4 linked regions of the Rhinolophus ferrumequinum genome follow. The protein of the gene in region 3 purifies or fractionates together with the protein of the main gene of each other region. This does not show direct contact. Links are inferred from orthologs where the notes say so. Each region holds a gene or a part of one and is shown on either strand. Other genes may lie near its edges.

Region 1 (8,198 bases), on a different chromosome or scaffold from region 3:
AGCTTTAAGCTACCAGAAAAAGAAAAAGGTAGAAACACTGTACCTTTGCCTTCTAGTGGTGAAAGAAGCCCCATGCAGGTGCATACAATAAATTACATGTTCATACTTTATTGGTTGATAAATCAGAGGTCAGGTCTAATTTACAAATACATACCTGAGTCATCAGCAATATATCACACAGAGTTTACTGTGTACTATTATTCATGATTAAATACTGTCTAGCAGAATAATTATAAGACATCATTAAATATACCCTATGAGTCCTAGGCCCTGTCCCAGACCTACTCTTCTGGGGGTGGGGACTAAGAATCTCTGCATTCAGTTCTCCTCCCCAAGGTGATTCCGATTCCTAGTCCTAAGGCCAGTTAACGCTCCCCTGAGCAGTGGCAGGATGATCCCAGGTGCTTGGATTGGGCCAAGTGGCTGGAGCTATGGAATAAAGGGCTGGGGGAGCAGTAAGTCTGAACACTACTCACGCGACGTGATCCCAAGCCAAAATGCCAGCTGCAGCCTAGCTGGTCCTGAGACCCAACAGAAGTTTTACCCTGTGTGGACCAGTGGGCTCTGGCTCTGGGACCCTGAGAGGCCACCATCTGATTCATGCAGGACTAAAAATAGTACATGCCTCAGCACCTTTTTCTTTACATAAGTTTTTCTTTCTTTTTTTTTTTTTTTTTAAAGATAAAGCATGAGTTGAAGTACTTAGTACCAGGATTAGTCTCGAATCAAATAGGTGAGTAGTTTGCTTTTGGCATCCTGTTACAAACCCATCCCAAAGGTACTCATTGCCCTCACATAGCAGTGGGACCCTTCTGTGGGCCCCCTTACCGCCTCCTTAAGGAACACTACATTCTCTGGCACCTTCTTCAACTAAATGACTTCTCCTGTAAAAATCTAAATATGCAACAGGCAAGGAAATGGTATGGCATCTGTGATACTCGTCAATGCAATGAATTAGGCAGTCATTAAAATTATCATAAAGATTGTATAGAAACTTAGGGAAATATTAATAAAAGAATATTAAATAATATGCATTATTAAGTGTAGAAAATATCGACATCATTATGGCTATACAAATATGAAAAACTAAACAATATGCCAAAAAATGAAACTTGTAAGAGTGGTGACCACCTTTGTTTCTTTGAAATTTTTAAAAATGTGTTATAGTGTGACAGTTATTAAAAACTACTCTTCTACTGTCCCTTTTCTTCTCTGAATTATAAGATAATAAGCAATACTCAGGACTGCAACCTTCAGTAACAGAACTGTATATAACTGCTGAGTATTCACTAACCTTGAAAGGTCAAAAAACATTCCCAGTGAAGTCCCCGATAGACCGGCTGGCTGGCAGCTCCAAGCGCAGCCTGTTCTGTTATTGTTTAAACAGCTTGTTAATGGCCTGACACAGAGGCCAGTGAAGATGAGCAGCCCCTGAGCAGCTGCTTAAGCAGCAGGTTGGGAGATGCTCTACTGACAGCAAGAGAAGATGCACTCTGGGCTAAGTGGTGTGAAGGGCTAAAAATCTGGCTTTTTATTGGGACCATTTCTGGTTCAGTTATACTGTGAGTGGCTTCATGCCTCATCCCATACTTCATTCCAGAGCGATAGATTTTCAGCCTCTGCCTGTATGTGGATGGAGGGAGAAGTAAGGCTGAAAGTGCCAATTTCCTTTCACAGCCTGTAAGGTGACGGGAGCTGTGATAACAGCCTATAAACACCCCAGGAGAGAAATGCCAGGGGCCGGCCACTTCTGGGTAGAATTACATAAACAAGTGGTGTTGTTATGCAAGGAAACACAGTCTGAAAAAAAAATATTCTCCTTAATGTCAAGTTTTCCTACAGTGAACTCAGTGAAACAACAGAATCATCTTTCCTTGGGGAAAGAGGGCAGTAGGAGAAAATACCGGTTCTTGAGACTCATAAGAGATTTGGAGGACTCTGTTGGACAGAGAAAGCCAACAAGACATACGCAGGGGAATGCCTGCATACTGGAAGAGGCTTAATACCACAGTGATGTTGGATGCTCTGGGGAAGAGAGTTGCGTGGAGGTGAGACAAGCATCTTTGTCAGAGGGAAACTGTCTGACAAAGATGTAGTCTCATTGTAATGCTTCCCTTTCAGCCTATATCTCCTCCAGCCTCTAGGAATCCTAAGAATATAAATACTCCATCATTGAATGAATTCCACCCATCGGTCTTAAAAATGGTTCCGTAAGGACCCCACTCCTGCCTCAACTTCCCCAGTATTATCCTGACTTGCAGTGGGCCAAATCCACTTCACTAACTATTCCGAGTGGTCGAAGGTCCCTGGGTAACTGAATTGCGGTTATTCATCTCTGCGGGGATCGACCCCTCACTGACACCTCACTTCTGAGGATCTTTGGCCTTGGTTCTGGAGAGACTCGCGCTGTGTCCCTTGGCCATCGCACCATTCCCAGCGCCATGGACAGAGGCAGCTCCTTGGCAAAGAGCCACAGAGAGGATGCCCAGAAATCACAGGAGAAATATGAGGCCTTTGATGATATTTCCAAAAACTTTTCTAAGAAAGAATGGGCAAAGCTGGGAGACTTACAGAAAAGAACCTATGTGTACATGAAGAGAAACTACGACTACATGACTCTTCTAGGTCTCAATACCAACTGCCCATACTTCATGCATTCTCCAAATCAGTCTACAAATGCTCTTGAGAGTGATTCTGACGAAGATCAGAGCCCCAGGAATCAGGATGAAAATCCGCAAGAGGCTTCCGATGTGCAATGGATAGAAGATGAGAAGGAGAAGCCCATGGAGCCGGCAAGGGAAGAAAATGATATGATGCCACTACCAGTAACGCCTGCCTCGGAGCCGGCTCCGAAAAAGCTGTGTACCCAGGAGAAGTGAGTTCCTCTGGTCAGGAGACTGAGAAGATGTCAGGACCCAGCAAAGTGAAGTCTAGTGTCTGGGCCCACAGGCTGCGGGAAAGAAAGAACCGAGTTGTTTGTGAAGAGGTTAGTGACCCCAAGGAAGATGACTAAATCCGGATGTGACACGAGCCCATCACATGAAGAAGAATCTGGTGGCCTTTCATGAACATATGCAAAGCTGTGAACCTCTGGCCATCAGGCCTCAAGCAAGTGAAAGAAAAGTTCACCACCGTGAAACGCTAAGCACGATGCTTCTTACAGTGCGTCTAACATTCCGTCAGGTGTTCGTGTTTCATGGATGACTAACACATATCCCTAAGGTCTATTTCTGCCTATGTGTCCAGGCACTTACCTCAGGAACCAGGTATGTTCAGGTGTCTCTGCACAGAAGAGCACTACTTTCCATCTCCCCCGTGTGACTCCACAGGGCAGTTGTGGGAGACTGATTCCAGACATTTTTTTCTCTGCACTTACGAGCGCACTTCTCTCTCTCTCTCTGTCTCTCTGTCTCTCTCTCTCTGTCTCTCTCCTTCTCTCTCATTCACATACACACACACACACACCCACATCCCGCAAAAACAAACATAAACACAAAGACAGACACTCAGAGACGGTACAACTTTGAACATATCCAACCTGCATTCAGCGTGTAATGGACATGTACCCCTCGTCCTGCTCCTTGTTCGGCAGCTGCTCCGTGGCACAATCCCCTATTGTGATGCTCTGTCTCAGTCGCTGGCAGTTAATAAACACAATTTTTGCCAGAAAAAAAAAAAATGGTTCCGTAAAATGGAGGCGATTAACTAAACAAAAAGTTGCTGGCTCACAGATAAAACTTGAAACAGGGATACACTGAAATGAAAATTTCACATGTAGTCTTAAGATTATAAAGTCTGTTAAGGCTTCTTCCTCCTACACACAGCATCTGTGATTTAGTAACTGACAGGAGATATGCAATGGAATCAAGCTTTGCCCTGTTAGCACCATGGTAAGACACAACCTAGGCATGAACAACTAACAGAAAAGAAAGGAAGTTAATACACAGCGTACACTCTCTTTAAAAATACCATCATCCTTAATTCATGGCTGCTAGTTTATTAAATTTTTCAGTAAATTACCCTTACTCATTAAAGGTGAGGAACCTATTTTATACATTCTTTTTATCTTCAAAACTTCAGTAACTAATACCTACATAGCAAATTCAAGTCAAGCCTTAACATAAAATAATTTTTAAAGAAAATTTAGCACAACATACCAAAATTTATGGGATGCAGCTAATGCAGTGCATAGAGGGCAACTTATAGTTGCTTATAGGTCAGAAAAATAGGCAAGAAAATGAAAGATAAGACTTGCAGATTGGAAAAGAACTAAAGAGAATTTAAATTTTAATTAAATATAAGTGTTACAGGTTGAATTGTGTCCTCCAAAAAGATATTTTGAAGTCCTAACCTCCAGACCTAAGAATGTGACCTTATTTGGAAATAGGGAAGTTGTAGATGTAATTAGTTAAGATGAGGTCATACTGGAGTAGGATAGGTCCTTAATTCAATATGGCTATGTCCTTAGAAGAAGAGAAAACAGAGACAAACAGGGAGGAGACCATGTGACAATGGAGTTGAGACTGGAGTGACACTCTTCTAAGCCAAGGAAGGCCAAGCATTGGTGAGACAGAAGCTAAGAGAAAGGCATGGAACATATTTTCACCTATAGCCTTGGGAGAGTATGGCTCTGCCAACACCTTGATTTCTAGACTTCTAGCTTCTAGAACTGTGAGAGAATAAATATCTGTTGTTTCAAGCCCCTAGTTTGTTGTAATTTGTTACAGTACCCCTAGGATACTAATACAATAAGTAAATACCTTCTTCCATTAAGCTGAAATAAAGGGACTGTTAAGACAGGGGATTGTAATGGTGGCACTAAATCTTCTATTTTGAGATTTGGATCTCTGGTATAATTTGATTTAACAACTGTAATGTAGCTTAGGACTTTCTGAAAGCTTTCTTTTCTTTGCCTCTTAATGATTCCTGCTTCCTGTACATTTACTATGCAGTGTCAATGTTTCTATTCAGCCCAGTGCTGGCCCAGTGACTTGGGAGAGGTTTTGCATCTGTATGGGATCCCCTCTCCTGGCTCCAATTTAAATCTACATAACTTATGCAAAGGTTGCAATAATCAGCTTAACTGAATCTTCTCCCACCCCAATGGACAAAGCAGACATCAACAGAAAATTCCAGTATAGGCCAAAGCAATTTACATCCTGGTTAGAAAATATAAAACTTGAGATCAAAGACTCGATGCAGTAGTTTGCAGTAGTTTCCAGCAGACTCTGCCCAGTCGACTTTTCTCTTACTTTAATAAATCTTCCTTCTATATTTCTACCTGACTCGTGAATTCCTTCACGGCCTGCAAGCAAGCAGACACAACAGAGGTCCCAAGAAAGAAAGGTGGGAATCTCCTGGTTGGCAGAAAGACACCCAAGCTACGTGCCACAACCCTATCCCTTCTTTGGTCAGGTAGACCTCGTCTTTGTATATGGCCAAGGCCTGTGGCTACAGGGCCACTGACACCAAGTTAAGAAAAGTAATTGGACTCTTATGGACTCTCTGACCTACCACATCATGGCAGACTCTGTTTGGGTGTTCCCCCATTTCTTCCTCAACAAACAGAGGCTCAGTTGTCAGAGAAGATAACCCTATTTCCAACTCAGGGAGAAGCCTGATTAGTCTTCTCCAGTAATCCTATTGTTTTCACCAGTGACTGGTTTAGAGATGGGCAAGTGAGAGGAACTCTGCTGGAGAGCTTTCTGCAAATGGTCTTCTCACTCTTATTGGAGGATTCCTCTTTTCCTCTGCACATTGTTATAGCTCACCATGAAGTTGGGACTATAGCAAGCTTCGCATGACCAGGAGGAAGGCCAAGGTCAAAGGTGAAATGTTGAGGATGGACAAGCATACAAGTAACGTATTTCCCCGAAAATAAGACCGGGTCTTATATTAATCTTTGCTCCAAAAGACACATTAGGATGTATTTTCAGGGGATGTCTTATTTTTTCATGTATAACAATCTACATTTATTCAAATACAATCACGTCATCTTCTTCTGGAACATTGTCATAACGTACTAAATGTGTCCATCTGGCTGACGATCTTAACTGGGGCTTATTTTCGCGGTAGGTCTTATCACCAGGGAAACATGGTAGGAAGACCGGTTAGAAGATTTTGCAGGTGAGAGATGAGGGTGTCGTGGCCAGAGTGGTGACTGTGGAGGTGGGGAGAACTTGCTGGATTCGGGGTGTATTTTGAAGATAGTGCCCAGAGGACTTGGAGACTGGCTGTAGAGTATGAAAGAAAAAGATGAGTCAGGGAAGACTCAAACATTTTTAGCTTGAGTACATGGAAGGGTGGTGTTGCCATTTTCTGAGATGGGAAAGGCAATGGAAGGAACAGCTTTCGGCAGGAGCAGGAGTTCAGCTTTAAGCTAAGTTTAAGTTAAGTTCGAGGTGCCACATCCAAGCGGAGAAGTTGAATAGGCAGCTAGATATGTTTGGAGTACAGGAGAGAGGTCCACGCTGGAGCTCTGAATATGAGTTGCCAGCATACAGATAGTTATAAAGACTCGAGACTAAATGAAATCACTTACAGAGCGAGTAGAGAAAAGAGACTTGAGGCCTCAGCCCTGAGGCAACACATAGGCTGAGAAGGAGAGACCCAGTGGATAAAAAGAGAAATAACCCCCAACAAATACATAAGAAAAAACACAAACACACCAACATGTAAGGTCAACATTCAATTTTTGACTCAATCACTGTTAATCATAATAATAGCTTACTATATGCCAGGCTCTTTGCTAGGGTCTATGTTATCTAATTTAACCTCGTAAAATTGTATTCGCAATTGAAAAATACCAAGGAAACTCCCAGGTATCCTTACACAAACCAAAATAAATAAAAATGGAACTCTTTAGATGGGGCTATGGGAAAATCGATGCCCTGAAGTGTGGCTGGCGGCACTTAAGCTGGAGTGGAAGCTGGCAGCAATGTAACAAGGGCTCTGAACTCAGCACAGCTTTTGACCTTATATAAGGAGGAAAAAAGTCACTATCAATAAGCATAAAACTCTGGAAATGACCCAAGTCATTGTGAAACAGGCTATGATACATTACCATGAAAGAATGGCCATTTAAGCACCAAAAATGACAAGTATGTGGGTTGTGTTCATACAGGTAAAGTGATTTGTCTTAGTGATGGCTTCCTTTTGAGAACAGAATTCCAGCCAATTAGCTTAAATACAGGAAATTTTATTATGAGAATACAGAGGTATCTGAGGGCTCCCAAGAGCAACAGACAGACTCGAGGCTCTCGAAGGACTGGGACGTGGGCCTGGAAAGTCACGAGGGACCAGGAAACGCATCTGGAGGGTAACAATAATCGTCTCCTTCACCAAACTCTAGTCCGGCTCCTCTGAGCCCTTCCTCAACTAGGCCTCAATCCTGGCCTAGCAAGACTTGAACAAACACTGACATAGTTTCTAAGGGCTCAAGGCCACCTCCTTGGGATGACCCTATAAAGCCCCTGCCTGAGAAAGCTCAAGGCTGCCCAAGGAATCTACTGTTTGCTCCAGCAAACACCTGAAGGATCCCTGGTTCCCCGTCTCTGTGGGAGGGTAGGAGACCAACTTTGATAAGTTAGTTTTCTAACTTTGTGAGTTAGTTTTACACTTTGATAAGTTTTCGGACAAAAGCCAGGAAAGTTGAAGTGATACATACAAGAGACATTTATCAAATTCCTTTTGTTTTCCTGTAAAATTTCTTGTACCATAATTTTAAAAATACATTTCTGAAGAGTTAGATAGTGGTATAAAGGGAGAAATGTTAAACTATCATTGGCCTGTATGTGAACAGGAATTAAACCCAAATGGTAGAGTTGGAATAGTCAGAAGAACTCAAAGACGGCTGGTTGGCAGCTAATTTCAGGCTAGTAATTCTATATTTAGAGGGAAATTGTCCCTTATCACACATTACCAATTTTTGGTTCCCACAGTCCTTTGTGAAGGACTCCTAGCTAGCTTTCTCCATGAAGCTCAGTGTTTGTTATTTTCTTAATGGAACCACAGGAGGGCCAAGACTCCTGTAAGGTAATAAACAGGAATGGGGATGAGGGAGTGCAGGCCCCTAAACAAGGCATTTTCACGCATTTCCTCCTCTGCCTGGAACATGTATTCCTTCTTCTCCGTGAAATTCCTGTACATCCTTCAAAGCCCAGATCAGATGATATTTCCTATATGGAGCCACCTCTAAA
Region 2 (7,588 bases), on a different chromosome or scaffold from region 3:
GCCTTCTTTAACTCAAGGCACACCTTCACGACCCAATCCTACCTTCCTCACTCAGACTTGGTTTTTGTTGTTGTTGATGTTGTTTACTGATATGTTCTAGTACCTAAAAAAGTGCCCAGCACATAAACTGTCAAGTCAATAACAACCTCTGAGGGAGGCATTATTACCATCCTGGTTTTACAGAGGAGGAAACTAAGATTTATTTAACAAGGTTGAGTAACTTGCCTAGGAGTTACAAACCACTAGCCAGAAACAAACCCAGGTCTCTCTGACCACGAAGACCTCATTTGTACTCTACCCTTACGGGGCAGAAATACCATCTTAATGTCCCTCCCTTGTGTGTCTTTACTGGTAGCAGCTTTCTCTTCTAAAGGGAAGGCTCCATTCAAGCTTCAATTTCTCCCTCAACCTTTTCCTGGGCATCCTCAACCTCTGATCCCTAATAGGGTCACCTATAGATCTCTCCTTCCCTTGTGCTGTGTCCTTTCCAGAGTTCTATTACAACAGTCCTTTGCTTTAGCCCTTTGCTGTACTTATTTCCTATCTCAACTCCAAACTCTCTGAGAGCAGGAGGTAGGTATCTTCGAATGTCTCTGGTACATTGTAGAGTTGGATAAATGTTAGATGTATGAATAAATAATCCCTATAAATCCATGAGATAAAAAGAACCCTTTAGCTCAGTTCCCTAACCACAGGCCAACAGAGACTACAGCTTTCCTTTGCTTGGGGGTGGCAAGGGCATGCTTGACATTCCCTGCCCACACCACAAAAGAGCATCACCGTGCTACGTTAAGGCAGTTTTTCAAATTTTGAGACATCTAATGAAAGGAGAACACAGATCCAAAACTTTAAGAGCTAAGCATAAAATCCATCTTCCAAAAGTGGCCTACCTGGTTAGGACAACAGCTCTCAATTTTAAATAGTTTGACTGGTTCAATTAAATCACTGTTTTCGGTGATTTTTGCTTATTCTAAGTAATTTTATTTTTATATCCGTTGGCTTGAAAGCGCAATTTCATACTTTCCTCCACATATAACGACAAAAACTGCTTGTTTTTTCCAAAATGGGAAAATAAAGTAGAACCTGTGTGCTAGGAAAAAAGGTATTCAGTAAATGTTTTGCGGCCGTTTGTAAACCCTTCTTCTAAAAGCATACGTGGCCCATTTTAGACTAATGAACACCGGGAAACATTTACTGGATGATTTTCATTTAATTGGTATGAATACCAGGTTCAAATTATATTTAAACAAAAACTGGGTGTTTTAAAAATATGGTGTAAAGAGTTAAAATGTCTACCCATCACCACTAAGTACTACATAAATAGTGCTATATTCAATATTCTGGCTCTAAGAATTTATAAGCAAATGCTTAGCTAAGCCCATTTCAAGGTACACGTTTAAGGTAACCATTTTCTTACATATACACCACCTGAGCCACAATCTGTAATTTTACTCCTTTTATTAATACTGATTTCCGAGCAGTGTCTAGCCCTATCTATAAGTGAGATATAAATAAGGTTTATAAATAGGATATTATAAAGGTGGGACACTGGAATTTCAAAACTGGATCACATTAAATCATTTACTTGCAAATTAATATTTTGCCAAATATTATAACTGCGATTTTGAAAAAAGTGAAAATCACTTTGCCAAGCTAGACTTCTGGCCTCTCAGTATGAGGACTGCTCACTTCCTACCCCTACTCCCCACCCCTCCTCAGTTCTTCCTCTGCCAGGAATACCCTCCTGACTCATCTCTGCCTATGTCCATCACTTCCTTGGAGAACTGGCTCAAGATTAAGCTCCTCCAAAGTCCTCTCTGACTAATCCTGACTTCCACTACTTTCTAACTTTGCATTCCCTTGGCATTTATATATATGTTGAACAACCTAATCAATAACTTGTAAGTTTTACATCTTTCTATCATTTTCTCAACTAGAGACCAAATACAGACATATCATCTTTTATATTCTCTTCTATATGGCCAGCAATAATGCTTCTTGAATGACTGAATCACCAATGAAAGAAAGCAAATGGCTCAAAAACTTCTCAAGTAAGCAACGGGCTTTTCAGATCACATTTACAATACCTTTCAATACAATACAATTACAATACAACACTTTACAATACAATTCACCTCCAAAATGCATGAGTCCTTCACGGGGATGAGATTTAATTTAGCCTTAGTTCCATAAATTCACCATAAAAGATCCTGGTTACAGACCACATATATGCTTAAGTAAATAATGATCCTGGTTATTCGAACATATCTTGCGATTTAACACTTCAGGTTTCTAAAGGCTTAAAGCCTTGCAGCAGCACTCCTGCGAATGGTAGGAAGCTGGCATCAGTCTCTTGCAAAAGGGGCAAAACTCTAGTTGGCAGTAAATATTCAAACACGTGAGCCTCCACTGTTAAACTAGGCTCATTAACCACACAAACTTGCTGTTTCAGCTTTCTGGCTTCAAGGAAGTGCTAAGATTTTCTTTGGTTATTGTTGAGAGCCAATGATGGGTTAAATTCCCATAAATTAACCAGCGTTTTGGTGGTTTGCCCAAGCATACCGCTGGCATCGGTGTGGATGAATTTTTAACAGACCCGCCCTCCCAAGGGAGCCAGAGGTGAGTGAAGAAAGCGCCAACCCGGCACTTCTTTAAGGAGGCAAAAGGAGACCTCCAGAACTCGAGTCCTCTAGTTCTTAGTATCAGCTTATTGTGCAGAGGCGGGGCTTCAAGCGCTGCTGCTTTTTACTAAATCTCAACCAACTCTTCTTTAGGGACTGCCACCCACACTTCGGCGGTTGCCCAACTTTTCCTGCAAGGAGTATCAGTTTTTCCATGCTCAAAGCCACAGCAATCCGGGTCTGGGGAGAGCCGGGGCACCAGAGGAGGGAAAGACGAGGCCTTGGAGGGGGAGGGAACGGGCTCGCCCCGCAAAGGGGGCAGGGTGGCAGAAACAAAGTGAACGCCGGCCCGCCCGCCCGCCGGCCCCGCTCACCCTCCAGCAGCACCTCCTTGCCCGCACGCTTCAGCGCCTGCACGGCCTGGTCGTGGGTGGCCTGGCGCAGGTCCGTGCCGTTGACCGACAGGATGGCGTCGCCCAGCCGCAGTGCCCGGCTCTGGTCCGCCGCCAGCCCCGGGAAGATCTTGGAGATGAGGATCGGCATCCGGTTCTCGCGGCCACCCTTGATGCTGATGCCCAGGCCGCCCGCCTCCTGCTTCACCACCCGCACCCGGCGCACGGGAGGCGACGCTCCCGCCTCGCTCGCCGGGCCCCGCGGCGGCGCGGGCGGACTTGGGGGGCCCAGGCCGCGGCTTGGGCTCCCCGGCAGCGAGTCGCCGGCGCCGCCGCCGTTCGGGAGGCCGTTGAAGGCGGCCGCCGCCGGCCCCAAAGCGGGCTCGGCCTCAGCCGCCGCGGCGTCGCCCGTCAGGCTCAGGCTCTCCCCGCTCAGTTCGGCCACCACCCGGACCCAGCGCTCCCTCAGGAGCAGCTCCACCAGCCCCGCTTTGGTGGCCCGCGTCCACACCGCCATGGCCGGCCCCGCTCCCGCCGCCGCAGTCGCCGCAGCTACCCTCATTCCAGTCAGGCAGCCTCAACGCTTCCCCCTTCCCGCCCGAGGGGGCGGGTCCGGCCCCTCCCCTGTAGATTCATTATTCATGAGAGACCACGCCCATCCCTGGAGGGGCGGGGAAAGGAGCCACTTCCGGGAGGTTAAGGAGTTGCTCGCACAGTCCGGTCGGTTGCGGCTCACTGGACGTGGGCTACAGGAGGCGGCGGGCTACATCTCACGTTCTCCTGTTCACCTCCGACGCCCCACCCCCCCAACTCTTGACCTGTACCGTGCGATTGACTTGAGCTGCCTTGGGCACGGAAAGCAAGATCAACTTCGAGAAGCACTTTGCAAGCCTGCAAGACTGGGTTGCACGTTCATTCTTGCATTGATTGGTTCATTCCGGATTTACTGAGGGCTCCACCGCTGTGTTCCTTTTGAGGCTTAGAAATGAGCTGAGTAACATGTACCACAAATGAGAGTTAGCGGTCTAGTGTGGGAGGAAAGCGAAGACCCAACCAACCTGGTGTGATACTATGTGGTTAGATGACATATAGAAAACGCCCTGAGAGCAAAGTAGAAGAAACCTTCAGTTAGGTCTGGGGTCAGCTTCACAGAGGTGACAATGGAAGGTGAATAGGGGAGCAGAGGAAACGGCATAAGCAAAGGTCCAGAGACAAGAATCTGCTTTGTTATCACCTGTTACTTGCCTGTAATAGGTAGAGAGGGGACCGTGTCTTCTTCAGCCCTGCAACTACAATAGGTAGGCCTCAAATATATTTGCAGAATGGTGGTTACCTAGGAAGATGCCAAGATTCCCATGTGAACAGAGCATAGGATCAGTGGAGTCAGCAGGATGAGTGTGAAAAGCCTCATATAATTAAATATCAAAGAGTTTGGGCTTGGGTTTGCAGATCTGACTTTTCTTATCCTGGAAGCCGTGGCCTTTTGTTGGGGCAAATGGGTGGCTCCAGAAACTATGCAACCTGCAGAGCCTGCAGCAGGTTTTTCCCCCAGCTTCATGGGCTGGAAGAACTGAGGAAACAGGCCCAGGGAGCCAGAGACTCTGGCTTCAAGTCCACAATGAGGAAGCAAACTCAGTCAGGTCTCCTAGCTTCCTGGTCCAGTGCTTTTTTTTTTTTTTTTTTAACATAACTCAGATCTCAAAAATGAGCGTCCAGAAATCACATTGCTCAAAGATCTCAGCAAAAAACGTGAGATCAAGGTGCCCTCTAACTTTCCTTCAGCAGTAAAAGCGAAATCCCCATGTTTTTATGGGGGGAAAAGAAGGAGGGCTGCAAGCAGAGGGAGTGTACACCAATTCCTGTAAAAGGGGCTGTATACTTGCTTGCTCATGAAGTACATGTTGAAGCTCGTAAGCCATGTCCATGCACCACTCTGTAAATGCATATCCGTGTATGGGCAAAACTTCCGATACCAGGAGTTAAAACAATAAAGAGAGACTGGAAAGCACCCAGAGCCCAAATGAAGAAAATTCAAAATGTGAAAAGTATCTCACCGAAAATATCATTACAGCAGAATCCTCTTTGCAATTAGTGGAGCAGGATTTTCCAAACTGCAAACATCAGCAGAAGCTCAGTCCTCCAGCCCTCTCCTAAATCGACTGCAGTGAGGCCAGCTTGCTGTTCTGGCAGGTCCTGATGTGCCAAAGTGACCCTATAGTCATAGACATTTCTGGCTTTGCTCCAGCTGAGGTGTGAGCCCCCCGAGGCCTGAGTTATGTGACATTTCTGCTTTTTACAGACCACTTGGCAGCTGAGTCCTTGGGGTCTGAGCACTATTTTGAACACTTTTATATATGTAACCACCCAGAGGTTGGGCACTTGAGGATACCTTTATTAGCAAAAGGGAAATGCTGGAAATTCTTTCCAAAAGTATCAAGACCTTTAGGTCAATAGAGTTGGAGGAAATCGTAGATCTTCTAACCAAATAATAAATGAAGGCACTTATATAAGACAATAGTTATGTAACAAAATATTTAACCCTGGAAAGAGAGAAGGTAATGAAGATTGGTATTTGGATTACTTGGAGGTTTTCACTTATTTTTAAATATATCCATAAAAAATTCCCAAACTATCAAGATGTTTTTACAAGGTTCTCCATCAGAACCTAAATTAATTTTCAACAATCTCTTTCATCACTACTTTTAGATCAGCCAGACTCATCCAGTGTCTCCCAATGATGCCTTGCAAATTCCCACCTGAGTCCATCCTTCCAAACACCTTCTGCCCCTTTCAGCCACCTTCCCACCTAGTAAGATCTCATCCCAGTTTTCCTTATCTACCCAATCTGTTGGGGTTTTTGCTTTGAACAATTTTATGCCTGGCTGGTTTGTCCAAACAGATGTTAAAATACAAAAGGGCAGGACCACCCACCGACTTCTATTTATTCCCCATTATTCCAAAAATATTGCCTTGTAGAAAAGGAACTCATAAAACATGTGATTGATTGAAATTCAGTGCCTCCTGCGCAGTAGTCATTTCAAATAATCCCTCTGAAGGTTACTGGTTCCTTGCAGAGTGAAAATTACCATCAAGGAAATCTCAAGTAGTCAGTGGAAATCTATTTATGGTGGATAATGAAATCTGAAATAAAGAGTACACATGGCCTCTTTAAGGACGGTGAGAAAAGCTTAGAAAATTTTTGAACAGGACTGTTATTTTATCTACCTCTAAAAAGGAAATGGTTGAGATAATTCCCAATAACCTTCCAATCCTGCCATCTATCAATATGGGTTCTCCTCTGTTCAAACTGTTATCTTACTTTTTCTCAGAACAAGGCAGGGATCTTTGTTGCTTTAAAATGAGGGGGTTAGATTAGCTAGCTTCAGTTCCATAATTTCCTACAATTCTACGACTCAGGCTCTGATTCTAAGCCCTCTCAAAACCCAATGTTTTTTGTCCTTTTCTCTCATAGTCGATGCATAATTTAGCATGGCAACTAAGAGCACAAGGTTCAAATTGCAGTTTGGCCACTTACTAGGATATGACAATGGTCAAGGGGCTGAGGACATCGGCCTTAGTTTCTCCTTTGGAAAAATATTCAGGTATGTTCTACCTCTAAAGGTGGCTGACTGGGATGACGTGCAAAGCACGTAGCAGCACTGCCTATAAAAACGTAGCTGCTGCTGTTATTATTACCTGTTGATCTTCAGCTTCAGCATCAATAGTAAAACCTTTGGTAGAAACTGAGAGTCTATACTTTATCTAGGAATGGGTCTACCATGATACCATTTGATTCCAGGCTTAAAGGGCAAATGGCCAAATTAATTTCAGTGACAAACAGATCTTGCATAAAACTACACTTTGGCTGAAAGGGAGTACATATTGCCAAGAGTCTGTCAAAGGAAAGAATTAGTAGATCTGGGGCTTGGTCCAAGGTCTGAGTGTTGTGTAATTTCATAAGGAAGGAGGGCCCCAGGCAAAATTGCAGCCCTTAGCAAGCCTGAAGGTCACTACCACAAAGGTGGCCTAATGCCAGAGAAACAAAAGCAAGAGCCACTCAATTACTACCAAAGAAGAGGCCGAAGAGAGAAGTTTGTAAGATAACAAATTCAACATCCAACTTTGAAAAATTATGCATGCATAACTCTTCCCCAGTTAGAAGACAGTGAGATCAATTGTCCTTTTCAACAGGCAGTACTCCTCTGCCTTCCAGAAATATCCTAAAATGTTTTTCTCCAGCACAAATATGAAGCGAAAAGAGGGAAAGATGCATATATCCTTTAGCTGATGCAAGCACATTTTAAAATTCATCCCGCCAAGATAAATCACTATCCATTTGAAACCCACAAAAATGGATTAACTATCTCATGCTTTATGACTATAAAAACCCACATCTGCTAACCACATTACTAATGAGAAGCAGCTGGTGACAGTTTTGTAGCTCTGTGACTTTCTTTTTAGGAAAATATTAGCAAGGACACACTAAGCAGAAGGTTAGTTTCATGGAATCCACTTAGTTATGGAAAATTACCAGTGTTTTTTATTGACAATCATGGAAATTACATAATTTGCCAT
Region 3 (7,943 bases):
CTTGATACCCCTTGTCTCTGTCTTCTTCCTATTGGGTTATGTGTTCCTTTCCTGGCTCATGTTACCTCTTGGCGGTACTGGTGTCCCCATATTAATTTATAATTGTCTATTTATGCGTTGGTCTCTGTCACTAGACAATGAGCTTTGGGAAGACAGCCACTTTTATTTTATATCATTATATATAATATATAGACAGTAGTTTATTTTATATCATTATATATAATATATATTATATATTACTATATATTGTTATTGCTTTTATTATTATTGGTTATTATTTATATATTACTTATTATAATACTTTATTGTTATTTATTTTTTATTATCGTAACAGGAGGTTGAAGACTATTTTCAATGAAATAACAAATGAAAATGATCACAAAATGGCAGCAGATCCGCTTGCGTTAATAGAAAGGAGAAGGAACATGATAAAAGTAAAAATAGTACCAGGCACTGTGATAAAGGCCTTATATTAAGTAACTCATTTGACTCTCACAACAACACTTCAGGGAGGTATTCTTTCTGTTTTACAGACAGGAAGCTAAAGGTTAAGCAAGTTCTACAAGATCATACAGCTAATAACTGTCAGTATAATAATTAGCACTTAGGTGACTTAAATCCAGCCTTGTTCTCTTTCAGCTACACTATCTCTGTCCTCCCCATTCCCTCCTCCTTCTCCTCCTGGTTAGCAATGACCTGATATAACACCGGGATACTCTCTTTTTACTTAGTGATTTGAACATTTTCCCCCAACAGATTGTTTTATTTTACCTAAATGCACTCCCTAGCCTGTTTTGCATCTTTCATTTGTTTCTTTATCCACAAAATTAGAGCCTTAAAGGAGAGACTCTGCAAAACCGTTTCCACTACTAACATTATAAAATTACAAAGTAAGTGAAACCAAGTAGAAGCAGCAAGTATGATAACCCCCAACACAAGGCACCTGTTTGATTCAAGAAGGTTTTCTGGCTCTCGATGGGCAGACACCGTCCACTCCCTCTCCTTGTCTTTTTCTTCTCTTTCGGAGCCTCCTTTATCCTCCTCTTTTGTTTTATCAGTTGCTCTTTTCTCCCCAACAGCTTAGTCCTTTTATTTTGTCCTAGGCTTCTTTGGACCCTGAATTTAAGCCCCCATAGCCTCAGCCTCAATAGTCCTCGCCTCCCTGCCCTCCTGCCATCAGATGTCCCTTCAAAGCACCTGGTCAGGACTGGGGCCAGGCTTTGTCCCTCAGAGCAGGTTGAATTGCCCAGGATGCTCCTGAGGTGTTAATGACCCTCACTAACCTCAAAGGTGATCACAACTGAATGAAACACTTGAATTCAAAGAGATAAGGCTAATGGTGGGTATTTTGAAATTATGATTGATCCAGTATGGATTTTTATTTTCTGTGAAAAGGGCCAGTTCTAGACCCCTCTCCAATCATTCAAAGTGGCCAATTTGAGGCCCTTGGAAAACAATGGCTCAAAGTGCGGTTCTCCAACCATTCGGACCCAACCTCATGAGTTGCTTGTTAAAACTGCAGCTTTCTGGGCCCCCCCAGACCTAGTAAATCAGAAATGCTGGCAGCTGGCAGGCAATCTGAATTTAAAATATACACCTTGATGATTCTTAAGCTCACTACATTGTGAGAAACTCTACCTTGTGCTAATTATTTTCTAAAAGTTTCATGCATCATTATCATTATTATTTCCTTAATTGTGTCACAAAGGATTTTATTCATATCTGTCTTCAACGTGCAGAATTAGTACTAGATGTTTGACTGAAGAATTCCGCAACAATTTCAGCAAATATTCTAGTATTTAATATACATAAGCCACAGATCTAGATCTATAGTTTCTTTACCTGAAAGAGGTAAGAAAGAGAAAATTTCCTAACCTTTGTCCTTCTCTTAAATGCTTCCATGTAGGGCTTTATTCATAGTCAACACCAAGGGTAAAACTGAATGAGTGTCTTGCTTTTCTTACATTATGTATTTCCCCATGTTTCAGCTGTTTATAGAGAAACCGCATGTATATACCCCCGCACAAAGTTTAGTAGAGAAAGCACATTTTTGGCTCTTATATTAGGATGCAGTTCCTTGTATATGAACAATATCTATGCGGAATCATGTCTCTCTGTATTATATATACATACATATGCATATGTCTTTATTTATGAATCTACATATGCATTACTCATATCATGATGTTTTTCCTCTTAGGTCACGGGTTCCATACCAATGACAGCAGTTCAATTTTCTTAAATTTTCACTGTTCTGTGGTGACTGTTGGGCAATTCAAAGATCGGGTTAATGGTAGGTCCACGGCCTATCACTTTCTCCTAATGCTCTAATCGATCTTTGGAGCAGGCAGACAAAACCCCAACCCCACCGAGCACTGTCATTACAGGCCCATGCACCTGCTGTGTGAACTGCAGTGGAATGCTGGTTGCAGGTGCACTAACAGCTATCCTCCTCCTGGTGGTCTGTCTGCACTTCCCCCCAATGCAATTCTCAGGCTTGGCAGGAAGGTCACGCAGTCTACTCTATGGAAACGTAGCCCACTGTGGTCAAAATTGTCCACTAAATGTGGTTTCCTCACTTACAAAGGAAACAGGGGGTAGGACTAGCTTGGGACCTCTTGGTCATCCATCCCATCCATCGACAGAAATTCTTTGTTCTCTCTCGCCCACGGCCTACAGAGATTATCAGTCTGGGTCTGAGGGGAGAAGAGCTAGAAACAGAGCACAGTTCCCTAGGTAACGCACCATAAGCCACTGAAGCTGGGCTTGGAGTGGACTCACTCCCACACAGATGGTGGCTGTTGTCCCCAATGACCCTTTCCTTCCGGCCTTTGGGGAAGCTTAACTAAACACGCCCTTAGAGCTTACAAACTCAGAAATTCTAGGTCCCCAAATGACCGTGGTTTTCAAAAACTTTCAGTTAAGTACATTAATATTTGTGTAACACTTTGCAATTTGCAAAGTGCTTTCCACTTACATAATTTTAACTAATGAACTCCTCAAACACTCCAATGTGGTTTTATTTTAAAGGAGGGAATCTAAATTTCCATCAGCTCAACAGGATACAGTGCACGGTGAAGCAGCTTTAAGGGTCTGCAGAATTATCAGTTCAAAGGAAACCTCAATCTCCCTTGATACAACCAGACTCAAGTAGCACTTGATCAGTCATTTTCTTAAGATACTTACTGCTGATCTTGCATATCCTTGTTTACGTGCCTTATCTTACTAGATTTGAAGTTTTGTAAGGTAAGATCTCTATCGGATTTTTATTTGTATCATTCACAGTGACAGGGGACCAGGCAGGCCCCAAATTGGTGTCTGTTGAATGAACGAATGAAAGTGAAGGAATGAATCATAACTATTTCAAGTTAGTTCTGTGGATTTTATTTGGATTATGTGAAGAAAAACTCTCAAGGAAGGAAGCTAAATAGAGACTATAAGAAACATTGTGTATCTTTCAGGACATTGTAACCCCCCTCCCCCAAAGCAATTAGGGACTGTGAAGCTTTCACTTCACAACTAGTAAAAGGCTGGTGAATTCTTTCTGAAAAATTAATTGAAGGCCCCTAGTGGTTTATCTTTACTAACTTATACATTGTTAACTCTCAGATATTAAACCAGCAATAAGCCAGAGCTTGCTTATCAATCACCATTTCCTCTTTGTTTATAGGAACAAGAAACCTAGGTTGCGGTTTTTTCTTTCCCCTCCCAAGTGTGAATTCCTGTACTTAAAGGAATTACACAAACAAGGAAAATACGTAAATAAGAAAAAACGCACACACAGTACAAACTCATTTCTTCTCAGGTATTTTTTGACCAACCCCTCAGACTTGAGACAGGCTCGCTCTGTAATAGGTGTATGTATGTGTGTGTACATACTAGAAAAATAGAAAAGGTCAGCGCAAACCCTATTTTTAGGTATGAATGAATATGAAACAAAATTTCAAGTTTGTCTTAATATTAAAAACGACGCCGAGAAAACTATATAAATATACCCTTGGAACTAGGACCCAAAATCAGCAACACCAGCAAACTGAGACGGGGGTGAGTGGAGGAGCAAATGGCAATTTATCTCTAAAGGAGAAAAAAAGAAAAATCACCCGAACTACCCGCTTTGCCTGGAGTGGGGACGTGACTCACATTTTCGGATAATCTGAATAAAGGGAGTGTGTGTGTGTGCGTGTGTGTGTCTCTGTGTGTGTCTGTGTGTGTGTGTGTGTGTGTGTGCCAGACATCCACCCCTTCTAGCTCCGGACTCCCGGAGCCGCGCGGGCGGGCAGCCCCAGGCCAGCCGAGAGCCCGGCCGGCTGCCGCGGGCAGGGAGGGAGCGCTGGGCGGGCGCTGATTGACGGGGCGCTCGGTCAGGTGACCCGGAGCGCCACGTTCCCGGAGCCCAGCCGGCGGTGGCCTCCTGGGCTGGGCCGGGGCGCACCGGGAGCCGAGAGGGGCTTATCTCCCGGAACAAAGTTGGGGGGCAGGGACGGCGACGGGGGCTGGCGCGGCGCGGGCCGGCGGACCGGACCTGCGCGGCCTCCTCTTCCCCGAGAGAGCGGGCCCCGGGTGCGGGCCGCGAGCCCGTGCCCAGGGGGGCGGCAGCGCGCCTCGGAGCGGTGCTGCGCCCCCCCGCCTCTGCCTCCTGCGCTCGGCTCCAACAAAGGGGCAGGCCCGCGGGGGGCGGGGAGGAGGGGCTGGCCCAGCGAGCGGCGGGCGCACAAAGTTGTGGAGTCGCCGCGCCTCGGAGGCGGGGAGCGGGCGGCCGCAGCCTGCCGCGGGCTTTCTCCCGCCGAGGGGCGAGGAGGAGCCTCCGGCTCCCGAAGCCGATTGGGGAATCACCGGGAGCCGTGCCCCCCTTCTTTTGGGTCATTTCTGCAGACGGAAAACTAGTGTTTGGCAAACTTGGTGCCTGCGCGCCTGTTCCAGGTTTGCACTTGGGACTGTTTTGTTTTTGGCGGAACTACCGGACAGGAGGATTGCACAAGTCAGAGGCATTTTGAATCGGGTGTCAAAAAAAAAAATTTCCTTTTTTCTTTCGGACCTTGTCTAGGTCTCCACATTTCATTTTTAAAGAACGTCGCACCACAGAACTCACGCTCGCACAGCCCCCCCGCGGTAACTACGACCCAAACACACCCAGACCAGCCCTTGGCCGCTGGGGACGCGGCGGCGGCGGCGGCAGGCAGGCGAGGCGGGCCCGCGGGTCACGGGAGCAGGTAAGTCCATGCATTATTGAAGCCCCGGGCTGGGGAATGTGACCACAACCCCGGGGAAACGGGGCGTGGACTGCGGCGAGGATGGACTTCTCTGCGGTCCTGAGCCCAGGATCAAAGTCTCGACCTCCTTCGCAAGAATGTGTCTAAGATGTGATCAACTTTTGCGGGCACTTTCCTCAGAACCTGAGTTCAGCTCCCCCAGGCGCGCGAGAGAATGCCAGCAACGAGGAAAGAGGAGGGGTTTCTAGGAATCCGTGTAGTTGCGAAGGCTCCAAACTCCTCTGACTGGTTGGGGGCCACCCTATGGCTTCCCCCGATCTTCCTCCCCGCCGGGGTGTGAGAGTCGCGCATCTGTGCCTCGCGCAGTGAGGGGCGCTGGGCCAGTGATCTCCAAGGGGGGACGTGGCTTCCCAGGAGGGCCTGTCACACACGCCCCAGCTTCGGAAGGCGGGACTAGAGGTGTCCGCTAAGAGAGGGTGGGGTAAGGGTGGCCGTGGTGGACGGGCAGGGGAGCAGTTCCCAGCCGTCCTCCTGGCAGGAAACGTGTTCGACCTCCGGGCCATTGCAGCTCGGGAGGGTGGGGCTCCGGTAAGGGGACGCGGGAGCCTAGTCCGTGCGTGGTCCAGTGCAGCCGCTTCTTCTGGTTTTCCGGACGCTTGGCATCTCTTACTGCAACTGGTAAGGTAATTCATGCCCACCTTTGGCCCCAGGTCCGAGGCTCTGCTTGCCCAAGGCCACTTACAAAACCAACAAAGCACGAATTTTAGGTTGTGCAACTTTTAGAAGGCTGCTGTTAAAAGAGACGTTCCCCCAAGCTCCGGAAAGGGAGTTGTTCTAGGGAAGGAGAAAACGTGCCCGACCTTTCAGAGCCAGGGGACCTGCAATTTGTTTTACACTGAACTGGAGAACTCTGGGTCTAACCTGGGTCTAACGGCTCCGCTTTCTGGCATGTCCCGGGGTGAGCTTCCTCTTTCCCAGCCTCCAGGTCACCTGGGTCACCAGGGCTTCGCGGGTCAGTTCCCCGTGTCGCGCTTGGGAGAGTCCGTGCACCGGTTGCCGCGACCGGAGCGCACAGAGTTCGCGGGGAGCCCGGACTTCCCAGGTCCGGGTAGGAGGTCGCGGGTTCTGGGACCTGCGGCAGGACTCGCATCCATTGCTTTGGAACTTACACAGGCCTCAGGAAGTCGGGTTGGCCCCTCCAGGCTGGTTGCTGGTGGGCGTGAGGGACGCAGCCCCGCGGATAGCGCTGCGGGCCAGGCGAGAGCCAGAGGAATGCGTAGCTCCTGGGTGCTTCAGCCTCCAGGGTAACAGGCGGCGAGGGCCGAGGTTTACGCGGAGTCATTCCCTAACCCCTCGACCTGCACTTATGGGACGAGACCCATGCACTTATGGGATGAGACCGCTCTTTAATTCTCCTTTGGGTATTTACATACAATTTATTGCCCCTGTAAACAGTATTAATCACTGTAGTATTCACCTTCCCTGGGAGCTCGTCAGAGTGAATGGCAGCTCTTGGCACTGGGTGTCTTTTACTGTGTTTCCAGCAGAGCAGCAAACTCTTGCCCCTTTGGCTTCCCTTTCCACTACGTATCTCTAGCTAGGTTTTGCCCAAGGACCAGCATTGCATTTGCATCGTAATTGTATATTGTTGAACATATTTGTGTGGCATTGTATAATTCCTATATTATTTTAAAGGCAAAAACTTGAGCTTTCCTTTTAAGGCCATCCTCTCGCGTCCAATTTGGTTTATTGCCACACACTCATGGCTTCAGGTCCTCATGACAGCCAGAAATGTTCTGAAGAAAATGTTGGTGAACGTAGAGTTGAATGTATTGGTTTCTGTGAGAAAGATCTGGCTAAACTTTGGCACAGAACCCTAGAGTAGTGGTAACAGTAAGTTACAATTGTAAAGGGCTTAAAGCTTCGAAAGCAACGTCCCATTCATTTATTCTGTTTCTTACCTGGCTGTGTGTGGAAGATGGCCTTCCCTGCGTTTCATAGATGTGAAAGTGTAGGGACACCCCAGTATGTTGTTAGTGACTAAACTTTGATTCTTTCTCCTGACAGCCCTTTATAAATCGCTGCTGCATTTAGCGATTTAGAAGGAGGTGTAATATGTTTTTTGTCATATGTTACTCAACCTGGAGTCCCCAGCCATTCATGCAACAAGTGGCAGTCTGTGGCTATCACGGTTTAAATGGTCTTCTCCCTCCTTCCCATTCTGTTCTTGTCCTCTGACGTCCCTTTCTGCTGCATTATTGTAGTATAAGGGATTTTGATTATCAAGAAGAGAAAATTTGAGAAGTTATCTTAAGGAGAGCGGCAAAATAAAATATAATGAAGAAATATTAATGTGCAAATGGAATAAATTCCTGTGTAAACAGTTTAGTTTTTTTATGGAGTGGGAAAAATCTTCACTTTGAAGTGAAGACTTTTGGCTAAGACCAGTTATGAAGGAGAGCATTAGAAGTATCTGTCAAAGAGAATAGTTGTGTGCCAGTAAAGAGAATTTTGCTGGGTAAACCTGATTTTCCATATTAAAATGTTACATGCATTCTTCTGAACAAAGTTGTTTGGTTTTTGAATATAATAAAATGCAATTAAGAATTCAGTAAATATTTTACAAGTATGTACCCCAAAAAGGGAACTTAATCACATAATAATCCCTAAAGTCTTAACAGTAATAGAGCAATATAAAACATGAAAAAGTTTTTTATAGTCATAAAATTTGGC
Region 4 (8,238 bases), on a different chromosome or scaffold from region 3:
AAGAGTCTGGCTGTGATAAAGCACATCTGAAACCAGGTGTCACAAAAATCATCTTAAAGACAGAGCTGACTTTCTTTTATCTCCTACTTTCACTGTCAGAAGCAGAGTCCATAGCAAACAGGCAACCCCCCTGCAACAACACAAGGTTTACTTTTATGCTTCAACATTTTCTTTGTATGTTTGTGTGTGTTTAGTTCAGATGTGATCAAAGAGCTCCTGGAAACAGCTTCTCATCAGCCACATGTTTTAAAGACTGGAGGAGAGGAAGAGCAAAAGGAGACTGGAGCTTGAAGACAACCAGTGGGGTTTGTTTATCTATTTTCCAGTGACACCAATTTAAATAATTTAAATCTAAATAAGGTGATAGAGGACCTCTGGGGGGGCAGGAATCAGCCCAACCAAATCCCTTGCTTTTCTGCTTTTTGTTTCATAGCATAAAGGCTTGCTGCAATGACTGAGCTTCCAGGACTACTTAGTTAGAATCCCAACAGAAGAGCTGTTTTTGCTCTCTCATCTGAGGGCATGATCAATTCTAAAGGAAGTGATGCTTCCGGCATCCCTGGTCTTGGGACCCAAGGAGATGCTACTTGTCTTTCTTCTTGTTTTTAAACATACAGGCACCTGACTGTAATAGGTGTATCCGAGGTTTCCCAAAGTCCACGCTTTTACTAGGATGAGACTTAATATCAAGTCAATAGTGAGACTGGCTACCATGAGAAGAGCAGAAGCTAGGAAGTGGTTCAGGAGAACTTAAGTTCATCAAGAGCAGAAATGGGATAATTCATAATTTGGAACGGGATGGCACTGCATGCAGCCACGGCTCCGGACAAAGTTATCAAAGAACAGCTTCCACTCCCAAATGGTTCACTGATTCCGGCCATCATAAAACCAGTGGGTGTGTGCCGAGTTCCCACCATGCTCAGCAGTATGCTAGGCATGTAGGGAGAGAAGAAATCAACACGCACATCACTAGAAAAGACCATGGCAAGAATACATTTACATTTAGCAGACAGCACAAAGGAACCACATTGAGGCGGTCTGTTACTCTACTCTGCTCAACACAATGCCCCCCACAGCCTCGCGGGGAGCAGGCATCCACTGCCACTCCCCAAATGCAGCAAGGTGCCAGCCAGTCAGTCCCTTGGCCTCCTCCTACCAGCTCATAATCAGCAGTCTGGGAAAAGTTCTCTGGTTAAGCAGGGTTTACCTGCTAAAACAAAGGTTGTGATAGGAAAAGAAATGGAACAGGCAACCTCAAGAGGGCCTAGAGAAAGTGGTTCTCAGTCAGGAGAGAAACAGCTGGAGAGCGAGGCGCTCCCGTTTGTGAAGCCCTCAGTCCCAGCCCATGCAGAACCAGCACCCAAACCCGGGGACACAATGGAAATCATCCCTCCCTCCCTCTCAACCCCGGCTTCACTTCCAGAAGCAATCAACCCATCAGTAACGAAAGGGTCAACCACTGCACAGAAACACTCAGTCCAGAACTCCTCCTGAGTTCCTGACTGCCCAGGTGACAGAAAGCAAGGGGGGCAGGGGGGAGTAATAAAAAAGGAAAACTTAGGAATGATGGAAAGAGGGAAGATTTTTCAGAGAAGGATGTTAACATGCAAGCGAATATAGCAACAGTTCCATTGGGCTACAAAGATACAAAAGGAACAAGAGGAAAACATAAAGGATATAATGAGGTAAAAGGATGCAAAAAAGCACTGCAGCCCCAGGGGAGAAGGGCTCCTTTCTCAAGTTAAGTTTTTTTGGCCTAGTAAAGTTCTCCACCAAGGAGGGTGTGACAGGCAGGGAACACTCCACAAAGCAGTCAGCAAGGGACACTGGAGATGGTGAAAGAAAGGGGAGGGGTGGAAGGTGGACGTCTCTCAGTTCAGAGGTGAGATGACATAAAAAAGGCTTAGGCTTGGGTGCCAAACCATAGCAGTGATTTGTTAAGATGAGGGGGACTGAGAAGCTCGCATGCAAAATGCCTGGATGGGAAGTTACAAAGACTAGTCAATAGGAAGGGAATGGATAGGGGCATATGGGGGAAAATAAATACGACGTGAAGAAGACGGGAGACTAATATGGAGCTGAGAGGCAATCCTGATTAAGAGGCACAGTAAGGAAGATGGGGTAGAGAAATCAGAAGGGAACAAGCAAGGAGGAAGATACTATGAAAAGTGACAGACCCAGGAGTGGACAGACAAGCAGGCATCATGGTTTGCGTTGCAGTGTAAGAAGACAGGCAAGGAGGGTGATGTAGCGAGACCTGGGAAAGGACCCAGCAACAGGTTGTGATAATGGAGTGGGAAGAAATAGTAGTGTGTTTCCCTTAGTAGGAAAAGCCCAGGGAGAAGGCTGGCAAAGCACTCACAGTGACAAACAGAAGGCCAAGAGACTTAAAAGACAAAGCCAGGGGAAGAGAACATGAAGGATGCAAAGACTGAAGGGAGTGAAGGCTGGAACCCCAAAGACAACCTGTGGGAAAACTATGCGCATGACAGCTGTATGGGAAACACGGAAGCAACAAATGCCAGCGCGAGGCACCAGGGAGCTCCTGTTGAAAAGAAGGGAAAGTGATGAGCAAAGAGTAGGCGAACGATTTGGAAAGGTGATGAGGGTGGAGCTGGTGGGTTGCAAGCAAGAGGGAGAACACAATTTGGAGAAGGAACAAGCAGGGTAAAAAAAGCTGGGGAACTGGAAGGGAACAGAGACCGAGAACACAGTCCGGGGCAAGGACCCTGAGGGTGATGACCAGGGACTGGGAGAACCGGTGCGGGCGGAGGAGAAAAGGGTAAAGAGATGTAAGAAGACGTGGACAACCATCTGGGGCAAATCGCTGGGTACTATTTGAGGAGGAGGGTGGCTGCTTGAAGCGTGGGTGGAGGAAGACCAGAAAGGCCCGAGAGAAAAAGGGAAGAGAAGGGGAAGCTGGGGAGGTAACACGGAAGAGCGCGGGAGGGCGGTAAAGGGAGAAGGGGGGGCCAGCAGAAAGACAAGTGTGCAGCGTGGAGTCAGGACGAGGTGGGTCCTAGGACAGGACTCGGAGGAGGATGTGCGGAGCCGAGAGCCCGATGACAGGGAAGCCGAGGCTTGCAGGATAGCAGCAGGGGCACGAGGAGAGCAGAGAGGGAGGAGGCTCTGCAAGGTGCAGGGGCCCAGCCAGAGAATTCGGGGAGCCATCGGGGCTCCTTACCTGCTCCGTGTCCCTCTCGTTCAGCGTGGGTAGGGGGGTCCGGGCGCTGGACATGGCGCCGGTATCTCAGGGGAGGGAACCGAGAAGCTTGGAGGAAGGGAGGGAAGGGAAGGCGCGGAGCCCGGCCGGGCGGGGTTTCTCACAGCAGGGGCACCCGCCGCATGGGCCCCGGCCGGGGGTGCGGGGAGGCCGGGCAGCCGCTCACGCCAGCCCGGGGATGCGCCGCTCGGGCTAGGCCGCGCCGGCTCCGAGCGGCTCCGGACCGCACCCCCCCGACCCCCGGCTGGGCTGTGCCGCCTTTCGGCCGGGCCGCGCCGCTCCGCCTACTCTCTGCCGCCGCAGCCGGCCGCCTGCCTCGCTCCTCCCCTGCCCTCAGCGGCACTGCTCCGCGCCCGGCACACAGGCAGCCGCCGCCGGACCTGCTGCTCCCAACATGGCCGCCACCACCGCCGGCCCTCGGCTCTTTCCGCCGGCAGCAGCCGGAAATATCCGAAGCGGCCAGGAACGGGAGGGGGCCGCGCCTCCTCCTCCTGGCCACCGACTATGGGTTGAATTCCAGAAACACCCGAAGAAGGTAACCTCCAGGGATGCGCGCGCCTCCTCGATTGTGAAGACCAAGCTTCGGCTCTGTTTTCGGAAATACACGAAGCGACTACGGGTACTCCAGCCCCGCCCACAGGCCTTTCCCCGCCCACTTCAAGCTGGTTCTCGGCAGTTTCCGGAAACACCCGAAGCCGCTCCGCGTGCGGGGAGCCGGCCACGCCCCCGCCCCGCCCAGTCCCGCAGCCGACGGCAATCGTCGGCCATTTCCGGCAACACCCGAGGCCGGGCGAGTCCCGGGTCATTCCCTCGGGTGGTACCGAGTCTGACTTCGTTTCTTTCCGTCAGATTTCGGATATTTTCAAACCTTGAACAGGTAGCGTGTTATTCTTTAACTAAATAGAAAATAAGGCCGTTAGCCGTCCCTGCCATTGGCATCCTTTGGTTCTAAACCAACTTCCCACCTGCGTGTCTGTTCGTTGTCGGTCAGCTCATAAAGTCCATCTCGTTTATCATCCAAACTGTCTATCAAAATGTGTCATCTGTCAAATGTAGCATTACTCTATTACCTGTCCATCTACTATTCATCACTTGCCACCGTCTGTCTTGGCTTCTTGTCAAGCTCCCAGGCAAGCACCAGGGCTGCGCCCGTGGTTCCCAACTGCAAAGGTCTCCTGAGCCCTGCATTCTGGTCCCGGTGTGTGGAACGAAAATGCTGTGTGATCTTGGAAAAATCACATAACGTCATCACATGAGCTTAGGCTCCGAGATGTCCCTGTATTGAACGAGTCAATGCCTTTGTTCCAGTGATGAGATTCTAAATAACAGCTTTTAATTCTAGTTGCCTTTTTTCCCCAAAAAAAGTCTTAATTGTTCAAAATAGCACAAAACAACATCACACCACGGTAATATTGAGTCCTCCCAGGTACTTTTTAAAATATTCTTGCAAACTAAGGCAGGAAAGACGTTCTCATCTTAATTCACATTTGAGTTATCCCTTCTAAGACAAAGAAACTCGTGGAAAACAGACATTGGTTGCCAATGAGAATTCCTCAGGGTGGCACAAAGAATGGGCACCTGGAGAAGTTCCTTTCCTTCCCCGGGACTCAGTTCCCCTAGCAATAAACTGAGGTCTTTGGACTCGTCCGCTCTGAGTTCCCTCTCATCCTTGGAGAGCCTCTGATCCAACAGTCCATTTGGCAACCTGGGTCCAATCTTCACTTCCCCCTAAATTGTCTCAGCAGGGAAAAGCAGTAGGCTGATCTGATTCCTCTGGCTCCAAGCTGTCCCATCCATCTTACTCCAGACATGTTGGAACTTGCCTTCCTGCCCCTGCCCCAGGGCTCAAGTACAGCTTAAGGTGGGCAGAAGCCAGGGTTCCCACAGGAGCCAGAGACCCGGTTCAACCAAGTCCCCAAAGGTACAGGAGCAGAGAGGCCCCAGGGATTGAGGGGAAAAGTGCTGGTTGGACTTCTGACACTTGACTTCTAACTCCCAGCGATAGCATCTTGAGCAGAGAGCCCGTGGCCAAGTGAACCAGAGAAATACAGAGCCGGACAGATGCAATGAGAGGGTGGTATGAAAGTACTTCCTAAGGCAACAGGTACTCTCTACAGTTGTAGTAAATACACTGGACTCCAGAACACCTCCCCATGCCCTGCACCAGCTCCATTCAGGCACTCAGCCATTGAGGAAGAACTTGGTGAAGAATCGCTGAAGGAGGTTAGGGAGATAGGGAGGAAGACGTGAGGACAGAGGCCATTCCACACCCCCCACCCCAAATTAATCCTGAAAATCCATGAGAATGATCTGCCCTCTGGTGGCCAAAGAGAGACACATTGCCGATTCGTGGCGGATCTCACTCCTAAGGCTTAGGTCTGGAAAGAAGGGAAAAGAGGAAGGGGTTGGAGTAGCAAAGGAAGGTGCACTCGGGTCTTCTCCGACCCATGCTCCTGCCTAAAGAAACTCTACCACCTCCCTGCTTCTACTCATTCACATTCTCACCCCAGCCTTCTGCCTCTTAGCCCCACCCCCACCCCACCTGTCTCCTCCTCTTCCTCTCTCCCTCCACACAAGGCTGCCTAACTGGTCTCTCAGCCTAGACTCCCTCCAACCTACCCCACCAGAATAATCTTCCTAAAGTCCAGCTCCAATTACATCTCTGTCTTTCTTGAAGGCTCTCACAGGCTCCCTTGTAGGAGAGGCAGGATTGGCTTCATGAGCCTACTTTTAGAAGGGCCTTGCGCTTGATTTAATGCTCTGCTGTCACTCTCTTGAAATTTTTACCAAAAGGGTCCTGCATCTTCATCGTGCACTGGGTCCCACAAATTTTGTAGCTGCTCCTGGAGGTAGGAAAGCCTTTAGCCTGCATCCAAAGCTTTGCATATCTGGCCTCTACTTATCTTGCTAATATCCTCTCCAGCTAGGTATCACTGGTTGACACCTCCCCCCAGCTCCTGCCCTGCCACCAAGCTCTGCCACCTCCATGCTTTTTGTTCAGGTTGATCAATTAGCCAGCCACCTACCTAGGCTTCCAGGTGTACTTAAAGATCCAGTTCGAGTATCACCTTCTCAAATTCCTGAAACCTCCTAGTTCTCTTCAAAGATTAATTATATGTTGCCACACATTTACCCCTTTCTAATTTACAAATTCATTCATCCACAAATCTCTGTTGAGCACCTACTATGTGCAAGGCCCTGTTCTAGGCTCTTTAGGTATATCAGTGAACAAAATAGACAAAGATCTCCACCCTCGGAGAATTTACATCTCAAGTGGGAAAAACAGACAACAAACAAAATAGTAAGTATTAAATGCCATGGGAAAAATATAGAGGCAGCTATAAGGGGGATCAGAATTGTTGGGGTGTAGGGGTGGAAAAGAAATTGCAGTATTAAGGTGGTCAATATAGGCCTCCCTGAGAAGGTGACATGTGAGCAAAAACTTGAAAGAGGTGAGGGAGTGAGCCCTGCAGATATGGAGGAAGAGCATTCCAGGAAGAGGGTATAGCCAGTGCAAGGGCCCTGAGGCAGGAGCGGGCCTGGCTCATTAAAGAATCAGGCGGCCAATGAGACTGGAGCAGAGTGAGCGAGGGGGAGAGTAGTAGGCGTAGAGGGCAGAAAGGTGATATGGGGCCAGGCCTGGAGGGCCACTGCTGTGGCATTCCCTGAGAGTCAGATAGGGAGTCTCTGCAGTGACGTGATCTGACTGGCTGCTGGGCTGAGAATAGAGTGAAGGAGCAGAAGCCTGGAATCCAGGAAGGAGGCTTTTCCGATAATTCAAGTGTGAGATGACAGTGGCTTGGAGAGGGCAGCAGCAGGGGAAGGGGTCGGATTTGAGTTATATGCAGAAGGTAGAGCCAACAGGATTTTTTGATGGATTAGTTTGGAGGGCTGTGAGAGAGAGGAGTTAAAGATAATTCCAAGCTTTCCAACCTGAACAACTGAAAACAAAACAGAGACAAAAATAAAGGCATCTACCGCAGCTCCAGACCAGGTAGAAAGGAACCAACATGACCAGTGGTCCAGGGCAGCTGTGATGCCCACTGGAACCGTGGAAGGCAGAGCTATGGGATTCCCAGCTCCAGCACAGCGAAGGGGCCTGAGGGTAGCAATCTACCCCACCCCCCCCCCCCACCCACCCTTGTGGGCAGGAAGGGAGGAAAGAAGCAAAGGGAGGCAGGGATGCTGGAGAGAAAGACATCCTTATTCTCTCCCCTCTGAAACATCGAAACTCTTCTCAATCTTTCCCCTCCCAACCAGTGGAGTTGGAGTAATGCTCATGCTGGACAGGCCACTCCAGGGGGTGGGTGAATGGTCCAGAATTGGCCTCTGATCAAGGAGGGCCAAGACCCACTCCTGCCCTCTCACTTGTCAGAGACCTTCCCGTCTCGAGGAGCTTTGCCTTATTTTTTTTTTTGGCATCTCTGAATTTCCATCATGCGCTTTGTCACCATCGCCATATACCGTCTTGAATTTAGAACGTTCCAGAGATGCTAGAGTGCGAAAAAACGTGCATCTTAGAACTGATAGACTAGAATACGTTTGTTATCGGTGTTCCCTCCCCAACCACCACAAGGACAGGAACTGCCGGTCTCATTCCCCTTCCTGGTTTTGCTAACACACGTGCAGTTGCGAGCTGTGTAGACATCATCAGTTACAGTGAGCAGGAGGCAGTTATTACCCCCGGTCTACTGACAAGGAAAGCAAAGAATAGAGACGCTCGGCACTCTGCTAGGGGAGTGGGCATAGGGGAATGAACCCGTGAGAGGCGGGAAGTCGGGCAGTGACAAGGGGCTACCAAACGTTATCCACGGGCCTCCAGCCAGGCTGCCTCTTACTAGCTCCGTGATCTTAGGCGAGCCTCTGAACCTCTGTCCACCTTAATTTTCCCAACTGTCAAATGGGGATAATTTGCAAGGCTATAATGAGTTAATATATGAAACATACTTCGAGTCTGATGGATGGCCAGCGCTCAGTGTGGGCTGCTGTTATTAGCCTACTCTACCCAGCCTCCC

What was found.
Region 1: the proteins of UTRN (region 3) and DTNB purify together in Homo sapiens (affinity purification with mass spectrometry; 3 studies listed by BioGRID and IntAct, with this or other methods). This does not show direct contact. The link is inferred for Rhinolophus ferrumequinum from reciprocal best matches to the Homo sapiens genes UTRN and DTNB.
Region 2: the proteins of UTRN (region 3) and SNTB2 purify together in Homo sapiens (affinity purification with mass spectrometry; 4 studies listed by BioGRID and IntAct, with this or other methods). This does not show direct contact. The link is inferred for Rhinolophus ferrumequinum from reciprocal best matches to the Homo sapiens genes UTRN and SNTB2.
Region 4: the proteins of UTRN (region 3) and MARK2 purify together in Homo sapiens (affinity purification with mass spectrometry; 4 studies listed by BioGRID and IntAct, with this or other methods). This does not show direct contact. The link is inferred for Rhinolophus ferrumequinum from reciprocal best matches to the Homo sapiens genes UTRN and MARK2.

What each region holds. Positions count from the first base shown.
Region 1 is NC_046296.1:54,567,492-54,575,689, reverse strand, and holds the start of DTNB (dystrobrevin beta), read right to left. Parts: upstream 3,558-8,198; 5' UTR 3,539-3,557; intron 3,014-3,538; coding exon of another isoform or gene 2,827-3,013; intron 2,735-2,826; coding exon of another isoform or gene 2,442-2,734; intron 1-2,441. Other genes in the region: protein SSXA1-like, read left to right, coding at 2,442-2,734, 2,827-3,013.
Region 2 is NC_046298.1:18,364,032-18,371,619, reverse strand, and holds the start of SNTB2 (beta-2-syntrophin), read right to left. Parts: upstream 3,597-7,588; 5' UTR 3,576-3,596; coding exon 2,996-3,575; intron 1-2,995. UniProt on the Homo sapiens protein: Adapter protein that binds to and probably organizes the subcellular localization of a variety of membrane proteins. May link various receptors to the actin cytoskeleton and the dystrophin glycoprotein complex.
Region 3 is NC_046286.1:88,838,211-88,846,153, forward strand, and holds the start of UTRN (utrophin), read left to right. Parts: upstream 1-4,806; 5' UTR 4,807-4,920; intron 4,921-4,934; exon of another isoform or gene 4,935-5,044; 5' UTR 5,045-5,210; intron 5,211-5,735; exon of another isoform or gene 5,736-5,888; intron 5,889-7,943.
Region 4 is NC_046294.1:7,483,622-7,491,859, forward strand, and holds the start of MARK2 (serine/threonine-protein kinase MARK2), read right to left. Parts: upstream 3,318-8,238; 5' UTR 3,239-3,317; coding exon 3,185-3,238; intron 1-3,184. UniProt on the Homo sapiens protein: Serine/threonine-protein kinase. Involved in cell polarity and microtubule dynamics regulation. Phosphorylates CRTC2/TORC2, DCX, HDAC7, KIF13B, MAP2, MAP4 and RAB11FIP2. Phosphorylates the microtubule-associated protein MAPT/TAU.